3 linked regions of the Sus scrofa genome follow. The protein of the gene in region 1 purifies or fractionates together with the protein of each later gene. This does not show direct contact. Links are inferred from orthologs where the notes say so. Each region holds a gene or a part of one and is shown in the gene's direction. Other genes may lie near its edges. The genes, in order: NUP214, KPNB1 and NUP62.

Region 1 (3,649 bases):
CTCCGTATTTTGTGGATACAGCCCTAGAAAAGACAAAAAGACAAATAAATAAGCTAGGAATTCAGAAAAGGGAAAGATCAGTGTTCACTGGGTTAGTCAAGAAAAGCTTCATGAGTTTTTAAAAATTTATTTTATTCAATAAATACTAATAAGCACTATGCCAGGTACCACAATGTCATAGGAAGATTAAAAACGCGCAGAGTTCCCTCATGGCTCAGTGGGTTAAGGATCCTGCAGTGGCTCAGGTCCCTGCTGTGGTGTGGGTTTGATCCCTGGCCTAGGAACTTCCACATGCTGCAGGCATGGCCCAAAGAAGACTGAGCTACACAGTACTTAGCCTCAGGGTAACATGTATTTTGTCGTACTGGAATATAGTGACAGGTGATTTAATTTCCTATTTACTTGAATTGATCTTGTTTTGACCCCTCACCACAGGATTTTCAGTTTAGAGCACTGAAGAAGGTGAGAATCTTTGACTCCCCTGAGGAGCTGCCGAAGGAACGCTCAAGTCTACTTGCCGTGTCCAACAAGTATGGCCTGGTCTTTGCCGGTGGAGCCAGTGGGTTGCAGATTTTTCCTACCAAAAATCTTCTTATTCAGAATAAACCTGGCGATGATCCCAATAAGATAGGTAAGTTACTTAATTTATGGTGCATTGTAAAGAGAGGAGTCGTGCAGTGCTAATGCCATTTGCTTCCGAAGAAGTCATCCTCCCAGTACAATTAAAACTGCTGTTAGTCCTGAGATTGACCCCCAGGAAGAGTAAGTTCTGGGTAGGCTGCTGGAAGCTTTTCTGGGAGTTCCGTTTGATTCTTCGTGTATCTCTTTTGATGAGTTGTTCCTTGCTTTTAGTTTTTGCTCAGTTGAACTTGCTCCGGCTTTCTCCCGGAAGAGTTGTGTTGCATGGCTTTTTAGTTGTCATAGGAGCACCATCCAAACAAATGGGAATATGTACTATTTGGAGTGTTGTTACAGAAATTCAGCATGGGACACTATTTTCTTTTTCTTTTTTTGCTTTTTACACTCGCAGCATGTGGAGGTTCCCAGGCTAGGGGTTGAATCAGAGCTGCAGCTGCCAGCCTACACCATGGCCATAGACGGCCAGATCTGAGTTGAGTCTGCGACCTACACCATAGCTCACGGCAACACCGGATCCCTGGCCCACTGAACAGTGCCAGGGATCGAACCCACATCCTCATGGATGCTAGTCAGGTTCATTTCCGCTGAGCCATGATGGGAACTCCAGGACACTATTTTCAACAAGGAGCACAGCCACTGCGAGTTTCCCCAGGTCTTAAGAGGAAGAATCCTAGAATACTTAAAGCATCATTGTACATCTGCAGGACAGCCATGATTTATCTGCACAGCTGGGTATCAGGGTGTGTGCATATGTTTGTGTAGATGCTAAAGTTATTTTACGTCAACTTGAATAGAGGGCTTGTGGCTTATGCTTAGAACACTCCATCTTCTGCTTTGTGGGTTATTTTGTCTTCATAGTTGATAAAGTTCAGAGCCTGCTGGTTCCTATGAAATTCCCGATACATCACCTGGCCCTAAGCTGCGATAACCTCACGCTTTCCGTGTGCATGATGTCCAGTGAATATGGCTCCATTATTGCTTTTTTTGATGTTCGCACCTTTTCAAATGAGGTAAGCTGCTGGCAAACTGTAGGGACCTGGTACTGAATCAGAATCTACAAGTTCTGGGTTGACCTTTGAATCTTTTTCTAGATTAAAGTACGGGTTTTTAAAAGGTCCTTAATTATAGAATCACAGATCTTAGAGATAAAAGTGACCTCAAGAAATTATTTCGGGGGAGTTCCTGTTGTGTGGCTCACCGGGTCATGAACCCGACGAGTATCCATGAGGATGTGGGTTTGATCCCTAGCCTTGCTCAGTGGGTTCAGGATCCGGTGTTGCTGCGGCATAGGCCAGGAGCTGTAGCTCCGATTGGACCCCTAACATGGGAACTTTCATGTGCCGTGGGGTGACCTTAAAAAAAAAATAAAATTCAAGGACCCAATACTGTTAATAAGCAGAGCCCAAGAGTTCCCTGGTGGCACAACAGGTTAAAGATCTGGCATTGTTGCTGTAGCAGCTTGGGTCACTGCTGTGGCTCAGGATCAATCCCTCACCCAAGAACTTGCACAACCAAAAAAAAGAAAAGCCCAGATTTTAGTCTAGTATATACTCTTTATTGTTCTACATGTGTGTATTCCCCTGTTGAGTCTCTCCAAGTATGCTGGAATAATTGCCGTTTTCAAAGTTGTATTAAAATTGTAACAAACACGTTGTGCAGGGCTAAGTATTCTTGTCATGGAGCAGAGTGAACTATAATTGGAGAAAACTTGTGTATTCAATGTTTTTTTTTTTGACTGTTAAATGTCTGTTTATTTTTGTTTCTGGGCATTTGTTTTAAAAGGCTAAGCAGCAGAAACGTCCGTTTGCCTATCACAAGCTCTCGAAAGATGCAGGAGGCATGGTGATTGACATGAAGTGGAACCCTACCGTCGCCTCCATGGTGGCAGTTTGTCTGGCCGATGGCAGCATTGCTGTCCTGCAAGTCACAGAAACCGTGAAAGTGTGTGCCACTCTTCCCTCCACAGTAGGAGTAACATCTGGTGGGTAATGAAGTCTTCTGCTCTGTAACGTGTGGTAGTGGTCATCTATTTAAAAACTAGTTACTGGGGAGTTCCCACTGTGGCTCAGTGGGAACGAAGGCAGCTAGTGTCCATGAGGATGCAGGTTCGACCCCTGGCTCCGCTTTGTGGGTTAAGGATCCGGCGTTGCCGCAAGCTCCGGTGTGGGTCCGGCTTTGGCTCTAGTGTAGGCTGGCACCTGTAGCTCTGATTTGAGCACTAATCTGGGAACTTCCATATGCTGCGGGCAGGGCTGGGAAAAAAAAAAAAAAAAGCGAAAATAAATAATAAGAAAAACAATATTTTATCTTTGTGTGTGTGTGTGTGCGTGCGCTTTTTAGGGCTGCCCCTGCCCTGGCATATGGAGGTTCCTAGGCGAGAGGTCGAATCGGAACTGTAGCCCCTGGCCTGCACCATAGCCACAGCAACATCAGATCCGGGCTGCGTCTTTGACCTACACCACAGCTTACGGCAATGACAGATCCTTAACCCACTGAGCGAGGCCAGGGATTGAACCTGTGTCCTCATGGATGCTAGTCAGATTCGTTTCCAGTGAGCCGCAATAGGAACTCCATCAAAACAAAAAGAGGTGATAGTCCTTTAAAAAAAATTAATTTCTGGGAAAAAAAACCTCAAGTGGGTTTGTTTTGTTGTTTTTGGTAGAAGTGGAGAGAATGTTTCTTATTTTTGTAGTTACTGTCCTTGAAGCGAGACAGCATATGTGATTTAGCTTGAATGTACTTGGGTTTTCTGGAGAAAAAAATATTGTGGTAGAGCTGGTTTAGAACTGTGCTGTTAAGAATAACTGTTTTTCTCTTAAAGAGTCATATTTTGTACCTTCAGGGAAAAAGCATCAGAAAGTACCACGTAGGAGCAAGAGAATGATTTCTTGATGTCGGAAAATCTTCTCTTCTCGTTTTTTCTAGAGTTTTCTGCACTTTACAGTTTTCGGGGCCATGCTGCCCTGAAAAGGCGCTTTTAGCAGCTGATTCAGTGGCCCAGACATAACTC
Region 2 (3,211 bases), on another chromosome or scaffold:
GAAGAAGGACTTCTTGATCTGAGGAAGAATAATTTGGTGTAATCAGAAGCAACTAGTTCAGCCTAAAACCTGCCTGATGGAGGCAGAGTATTTAGAAATTATGAAACAGGGTGGAGTCTTGCCAAATGTGGCACAACTTCATCACACCTTCTCTTTCTTTTATAGCGGATGTGATGCTGGTACAACCTAGAGTAGAATTTATTCTGTCTTTCATTGACCACATTGCTGGAGATGAGGATCATACAGATGGAGTAATAGCTTGTGCTGCCGGACTCATAGGGTAGGTCATACTCTGCTTCCAATAGCTGAATAGAACTCCTCATGCAAAATGAGAAGACATGTAGTAAAGAATTTTGAGTGGCCTGGATGGTAATTGCCCACTTTATTGGCATAGAGGAGATTTCTTTCTTTAGTAGAACCCATGCTGTCGCGGGGTGTGTGTGTGTTTGTTTGTTTGACCACACCTGCAGCATGTGGAAGTTCCTGAGCGGCAGTTGTAACCTGTGGCACAGCTGCAGCAGCGCCAAATCCTTAACCTGCTGCGCCACGCTGGAACTTCCATGATGTCCTGTTTTGAGTTCTCAGATGATTATTCCTTCTAGACTTTAGCTCTAATCTCATTCCAGGCCCCCCACATTTCTAATTTCTCCCCACCAAACTATGAAATTAGCTCTCAGAGAGAGGCAGCATCTGATCTGTGTCCATCCCATGTTCTGGTGTTGATCAACAACTTGCCTCTGTGTAGCCTCCTCTACTGAGGGTTTCTGAGACATCGTTGGAAGAACATTGGTTTTGAGGAGCTCAAAGATCTGGATTTTTTTTTTTTTTTTTTTTTTGGCTTTTTGCCTTTTCTAGGGCCACTCCTGCAGCATATGGAGGTTCCCAGGCTAGGGGTCTAATCAAAGCTGTAGCCGCCGGCCTACACCACAGCCACAGCAACGCAGGATCCGAGCCACGTCTGCAACCTACACCACGGCTCATGACAACACCGGATCCTTAACCCACTGAGCAAGGCCAGGGATTGAACCTGCAACCTCATGGTTCCTAGTCGGATTCGTTGACCACTGAGCCACGACGGGAACTCCAAGATCTGAATTCTAGTTCTGATTTTACCGTAAATTAGCTGTGGCACCTTGGCTAAGTCATTCTACTTATTAGACTTCATTTTTGTTCCTCCATTGAGGACAAGTGTTAGACTCATTTATCTTTAAAATTTCTTACAGCTTTAAAAAGTTGAATACTCAAAATCCTAGAGCTGGCTTAGAACTGGTTTGGAAGGTTCGAAACATGATCTTAGGGGAGTTCCCACTGCGGCACAGTGGGTTAATGATCCAGCTTGTCCCTGGCATTGCTGGTTCGATCCGTAGCCTGGAGTAGCAGATTAAGGATCTGCTCTTGCTGCAGCTGTGGTGTAGGGCACAGATGAGGCTTGGAATCAATCCCTGGCTCAGGACTTCCATATGCTGCAGGTGCAGCCAGAAAGGGGGGCGGGGGACCAAAAAATACAATCTTCATGATCTTGGTATAGGGCCGGGAGCTCACTTTCAGGTGTGTTTATCTTGTCCAGGGACTTGTGTACAGCATTTGGGAAGGATGTACTGAAATTAGTAGAAGCTAGGCCAATGATCCATGAACTGTTAACTGAAGGACGGAGATCGAAGACTAACAAAGCAAAAACCCTTGCTACCTGGGCAACAAAAGAACTGAGGAAACTGAAGAACCAAGCTTGGTAAGAGCTTGTCCCTTTCTTCCACTTTCTTGGGCAGGCAGGTGGGTGGTGCATTTTTTCAGACAATTCTGACAAGGGCCTTTTTTTTTTTTTTTCTTCTTCGGTGTTTTGTTTTGTACTCTTCCCTATGTTAAGTGCCTCTGAGCCAGGCCTTTGTTCATCAGCCTTGTACTAGTGGAAGGTCAGGCAGCCAGTCTTTGAGCCAAATATTTGGTTCCTTGTGGTGGTGAAGAACAGAACTTAAGTAATTAGAATTCACTGAAATCCCCAAATAATTTTGGACCCTTAATGAAGTAACTGATAGGGGTATTTTCCCATAATTTTCTTTCTACCCTCTATTTCCATCCTCATGTTCTTTCTTTACTGCAGTGCTTTTATTAATTTTTTTTCTTTTTTGGCCACCCAAGCATATGGAGTTCCTGGGCCAGGGATCAGATTTGTGATGTATACCACAACTGGGGCAACACCAGATCCTGAAACCCATCGTGCCAGGCCAGGGATAGAATTAGGTCCCAGTGCTCCATAGATGCCACAGATCCAGTTGTGCCACAACAGGAACTCCCACTGCAGTGCTTTTAGACATTGCTTTTCTGTACGGAAGATACCCAAGGTCAGAGTTGTTTGACCTCTGCTTTGAAATGTAGTTTTGTTTTCCTCTCATACTCAATTATCTTATACCATAGATCTCAGTAAAATTGGCTGTTTTGGGTTTTATCTTTTTAGTTTGCCTCCCACCCTCTCTGGGTACTAATGAAAGTAGGTGGATGGCACATAGAAAAAGAAGAAAAATAATCAGTCCTTGGAAAGTTGACAAATGATGTTCAAGCCTGTGAGCGCTTAATTCTAGGAGTCAGAGAAATGTTTGGCTCTACTGGCTATACGGAATCTCAAAGACTGACCTTTTTTCCATCTGTTTTTAGATCTGTTACCAATGGGATGATAACCTGAGACCCCCACTGGAAATCTCCAATCTTTTGAAAAACCCGGAAGTGAGGAGTGTGCACGGATGCTGAATGTTTGGGAATGAGAGGATGAGTGAGTGAGGCTTGAAAACACACCACATTGAAAATCCTGCCACAGCAGCAGCTGCAGCCGCCAACAGCAGCGCTGTTAGTGAGCTAAGTAAGCACTGACTTCGTAGAAAAACCATAACGTCGGCCATCTTGGAAAAGAGAAAACGGTGGATTTACTTGCTTAAAAAAAAAAAAAGAAAGCTCTCTCTTCCCAGGAGAGGCCAGAACTAGCTTTTCTGTCTCTTGGCCAGTGCCGAGTGGATTGACTAGTTTGGGAGAGGAGGAGGGACTGGGTTCAGCTGTGGTGCTTTGTTGTAAAAGGCAGCTTGGCCTTTGCTACTGATGAGAAAGATGGGAGCCTGGGTCTCAAGCCCACCTTTGGTGTACCTTTGCCACACGGTACTGGTACTGTATGCGTGCCAGCTAAAAGGAGGGTGAGGGATTCTTTCCAGCCTGAGAATGAGTGTGT
Region 3 (4,247 bases), on another chromosome or scaffold:
CCCAGGGTCGCCAGGAGTGACATGGCTGCAGCTCGGGTGCGGGGCACAGATGGCAATGAAGGAGGCTGCACCAACAGCTGGCAGGAGGCTCTGGAGATTACTCAGCTGGGCGAAGACGGGCACCAAGGCGAGAGTGGAGGACCTACGAGTGGGAGACAAAAGTGAGTGGGTTAGGGGCCAGCCTCGCCAACGGCCAAGGCCATGGGGAAACCAAGCGATACCCCCTCAGGTCCCCAGGATTCCTTACCTTTTGGGAATTCTACATCTGCCCTTTCTTTCCTCAAATGGGGACCCCACCCATTCCCAAGGGAATTTTCTTTAGGCCCCGACTTACTTTTCCTCAGAATTCCCTAGACCCAATCCTTCCAATATTGAAACATAATGGTGTCCCAGGGGAATTACCTTAAGACCCTCCCACCCACCCCATAATACTATCTCTCATGGAAAAAAAAAAAAAAAAAAAACACAAAAACCTCAATCCCAGGGGAATTTTCTTCCAGCCACACCTCTTGCCCTAAAACATATCCTTTAGGCCCCACCCTGTCCCTAGATTCCTGCTGTGAATCTGTTCCCAGGGGAATCCCCCTGCCCCGCCCCTTCATCAAAATCCTCCATTCAAATCCCATTCTTCCCTTCGAATTTTGCAGTGGTCTCCCGTCCCCCCAAGCCCTGCCCCCTGGTTTATTAGCTCCACCCTCCCCGACGATTCCCAGAGGCCCCGCCTCTTTCTCAATATAAACCCCACCCCCTCAGCGCACGGCGCGCTTAGCCACGCCCCTTCTCCCAAAGGGTACCCCGCCCCCGCCCCACCCTCCGCGACGTCTCTTATCCTAGCTCCCGTCCCTTAACTGGTCGTTTCTAAGCCCCGCCTTCTCCCCCCGCCCCCGCCCCCGTAGTTGCTTGAAAGAAAGGGAGGGAAGACGTGCTTTTACGCCTGAGCAAACTGGAGGGAGGCGGAGGGTGGAGGGGGGCGGGATGAGAACAGCTCCCGACTCCCCCTCCCCCCACCCCCGTACACGGCTGTCTCGCCGAGGGCCAAAGCGCAGGCTCCAGCCCCAGAGCTGTCCTATTGCCCCCGCAAGGCTCCGCCCTCCTCGGGATCAGTGCTGCGCACGTGCGGCTGCTGCTCGTCAGCCCTTTGCTCCGAGATACAAGCGCCGGTGGATCTGAGCAATCGCTGATTGACAGACTCAATCAGAGCGGGGAGGAGGGGGGAAACCCACCCTCTCTGGGAGCTAGTGCGCAGGCGCAAACGCATGTGGTCGTCTTTAAACGCCAACATTGTCTGGAAGAACGCACCCTCCCCCCATCAGCTGAGTGCGCATGCTCCGCAGCGCGCAAACGGAGCGTCTTGTCTCTTCTGCGCCTGCGCGACCGTGATTCCTCACTCTTGTCTCCCCACCCCCCCGAGCCCGGTGGTGAGGGCCGCGAGCTTGGAAAGGGCGGGAAAGACGGTTGGAGAGGGAGGGGCGAGCGAGCGGTTACTCACTCCATGGCTGCGGAAAGAAGAGGCGGCGGTGGCCTCAGCTGAAGAAAGACGGCAGGAGCGGAGAGCGCAGGCGCGGTGAGCACGGCGACTGGCCGGGGGCACAGAGGGGTCGCGGCTACAGAGCCATGGCTGGAGCTACGCGGGCGGAGGAGGTGTCGCGGTACTGTGAGGAGAGATTGTGATCTGAGGATGGGGAATGAGGCGGCCCGGGGGACTGGGGACAGATATACCGGGGGCGGCGCAGCACGGCGTGCCCGGATCCTTCCGCGCCCCGCCCCGCGCTGCCCCAACCGGGAGGCGGGCTTGGCCTCTAGCCCTCGGGGATCCCGGGGACTGTCCCCCACTTCCGACCAGGGCGTTCAGCCCTCCCCTTCCTCTGACCTGAGGATCTGGCCCTGCTTTGCTCCCGACCCCCTGGACCACCCCCACTCGGGTGGGGCCCCTTTCTCCTTCTGATCCGGGGTCCGGCTTTCTGTTCCCTCTCATTCTGGTGGTTCAGCCTCACCTCTTCCCCGATCCCTGCACGAGTTCATTTCTCCTTTCCTTTCTCTTGCTTCACGAATTTCCGGCCAGCCACGTGCTGATCTCTTCAACTGCCACGGCACTCTGAGAACCCTTGTTGTGGCTTAGGATCTGGTTTGAGTCACAGACCGCGCTCCATTCAAATCGCAGACGGGCGCGGGTGGCCTTGGGCAAATAATTTAAATTCTCTAGCCTCGTAGATAGGGAACTACCTGTAAAATGAGAATAATCACCTCTTCCTAGTGGGGTCGTTTGTGAAAATCCGTGCAGTCGGTGTCTGTGAAACCAGCCCTCCTTCATGCCTGGTCCAACCGCTTTTATTATCCATAACAAGGACCTCTGGGGACCAGTCTCACCCCTTCCAACTCCCCTGGCCAGAGCCCCAGACTCGACCATCCAACACCTGCTAATAGATCATTCTTGTGTCTCCTTCGCTCTAGCATCCCTGCCCTCCCCCATTTCAAACGATGGACGCTCAGCCCCATCCTGCTGCCGGGAGCAAGGCATCATTGCCCAGACTCTCGTGTCCATCCCCTGCTGGCTTCCCCTTAGCCCTTATCCTTAGCACGCCTTTCAGGCCCGTTGGTTCATTCTTCTGTCCCTGCCCCTCACCTAGACGTCCTTTCAAATGGTTTTCTACCTCCGTGCACCCCACCCTCACCCCCAGATCAGTTTTCCACCTTTGCCAGACTTAGGGAGATCTGTAGTTCCATTTGCTGAAAGAGATGGGGCTTCCTGGCCAGTCCCTCCCATTACACAGGGCCTTCCACCAGACCCCGTAGACGAGGGTCTTTGCTGCAAGCCCCTCTCCTCCCCCATTCATCCACATCTAGACGTTACACCTGGAGTACAACTTTTCAGGACTTTGGTGGTGGTTATGAGACTGAGTCAAGATCCAAAGGTGGGAGACCCAGATCTTGAGTTACCTGGAATGATACATGGGCCTCTTTTGTTTTGTTCCATGTGCATGTGCTTTTTTTTTTTCCAGTTTTACTCAAGATATAATTAAACTTTATAAATTTAAGGTGTACAGTATAACAATTTGATTACCCATAAGTTTAGTGAACATTTATCATTTCCTGTAGATGTGAAATTAAAGATATAGAAATAGGGAGTTCCCATTGTGGTGCAGCGGAAACGAATCTGACTAGCATCCATGAGGATGCATGTTCAATCCCTGGTCTTGCTCACTGGGATAAGGATCCAGCGTTGCCATGAGCGGTAGTGTAGGTCGCAGATGTGGCTTGGATCTGGTGCTGCTGTGGCGTAAGCCGGCACCTGTAGCTCCGATTCGACCCCTAGCCTGGAACCTCCATATGCCTTAGGTGCAGCCCCGAAAAAGACCCAAAAAAGTAAATAAATAGATACTTAGAAAAAATACATATTTCTTTTTTTCTTTGGCAACTCCATGGCATATGAGTTCACAGGCCAGGAATCAGATCCGAGCCAAAGGTATGACATATGGAAGGGTTTATTCTCTCTCTCTCTCTCTCTTTTTTTTTTTTTTTTTTTTTTGCTTTTTAGGGCCACATCTGAGGCATATGGAAGTTCCCAGGCTAGGGGTTGAAATGGAGCTACAGCTGTCAGCCTACGCCACAGCCACAGCCATAGCTATGCAGGATCCCAGCCACATCTGTGACCTGCATCACAGCTCACAGCAACACCAGATCCTTAATCCACTGAGCAGGGCCATGGATCGAACCTGCATCTTCATGGATCCTAGTCTGGTTCGTTAACCACTGAGTCACAAAGGGAACTCTGGGTTTATTCTCTTAATAACTTTGATATGTAACATACAGCAGTGTTAATTATACTGATCATTTGATATATTACATACCCAGTACAGGCTGCTCTTCCTACAGGAAGCCCTTTTTGGGATCTGACCCCGTTCCCTTAGAGTACTTCCTGTCCACTGTGCCAGTATTTGAGCACTTGTCCTTTGGGGCCACATTATTACCTAGGCGGCATGGAGTAGTAGTTAAGAGCACAGACTCTGGAGGCAAGTTGTTGGATTCACACCCTGACTATACCCCACTTATTAGCTTCCTGGCAGTTTCGCTGTGCCTCGGTTTCCATTAATAGTGCCAGAACAGAAGTCCTCTGGTGGCCTAGCAGGTTGGGGATCTGGTGTTACCTCTGTGGCTCTGGTTATTACTTGGTGAGGGTTTGGTCCCTGGTCGGGAAGTTTTGTGGGCGCAACCAAAAAAAAAAAAAAAAATAGTGCCAGGATAAAAGT

Evidence for each region.
Region 2: the proteins of NUP214 (region 1) and KPNB1 purify together in Homo sapiens (affinity purification with mass spectrometry; 3 studies listed by BioGRID and IntAct, with this or other methods). This does not show direct contact. The link is inferred for Sus scrofa from reciprocal best matches to the Homo sapiens genes NUP214 and KPNB1.
Region 3: the proteins of NUP214 (region 1) and NUP62 purify together in Homo sapiens (affinity purification with mass spectrometry; 5 studies listed by BioGRID and IntAct, with this or other methods). This does not show direct contact. The link is inferred for Sus scrofa from reciprocal best matches to the Homo sapiens genes NUP214 and NUP62.

What each region holds. Positions count from the first base shown.
Region 1 is NC_010443.5:271,106,694-271,110,342, forward strand, and holds part of NUP214 (nuclear pore complex protein Nup214), read left to right. Parts: intron 1-435; coding exon 436-631; intron 632-1,497; coding exon 1,498-1,649; intron 1,650-2,421; coding exon 2,422-2,620; intron 2,621-3,649. UniProt on the Homo sapiens protein: Part of the nuclear pore complex. Has a critical role in nucleocytoplasmic transport.
Region 2 is NC_010454.4:23,939,699-23,942,909, forward strand, and holds part of KPNB1 (importin subunit beta-1), read left to right. Parts: intron 1-165; coding exon 166-280; intron 281-1,567; coding exon 1,568-1,729; intron 1,730-2,649; coding exon 2,650-2,650; 3' UTR 2,651-3,211.
Region 3 is NC_010448.4:54,942,902-54,947,148, reverse strand, and holds the start of NUP62 (nuclear pore glycoprotein p62), read left to right. Parts: upstream 1-1,443; 5' UTR 1,444-1,564; exon of another isoform or gene 1,565-1,768; intron 1,769-1,994; exon of another isoform or gene 1,995-2,082; intron 2,083-4,247. Other genes in the region: ATF5 (cyclic AMP-dependent transcription factor ATF-5), read right to left, coding at 1-23. UniProt on the Homo sapiens protein: Essential component of the nuclear pore complex. The N-terminal is probably involved in nucleocytoplasmic transport.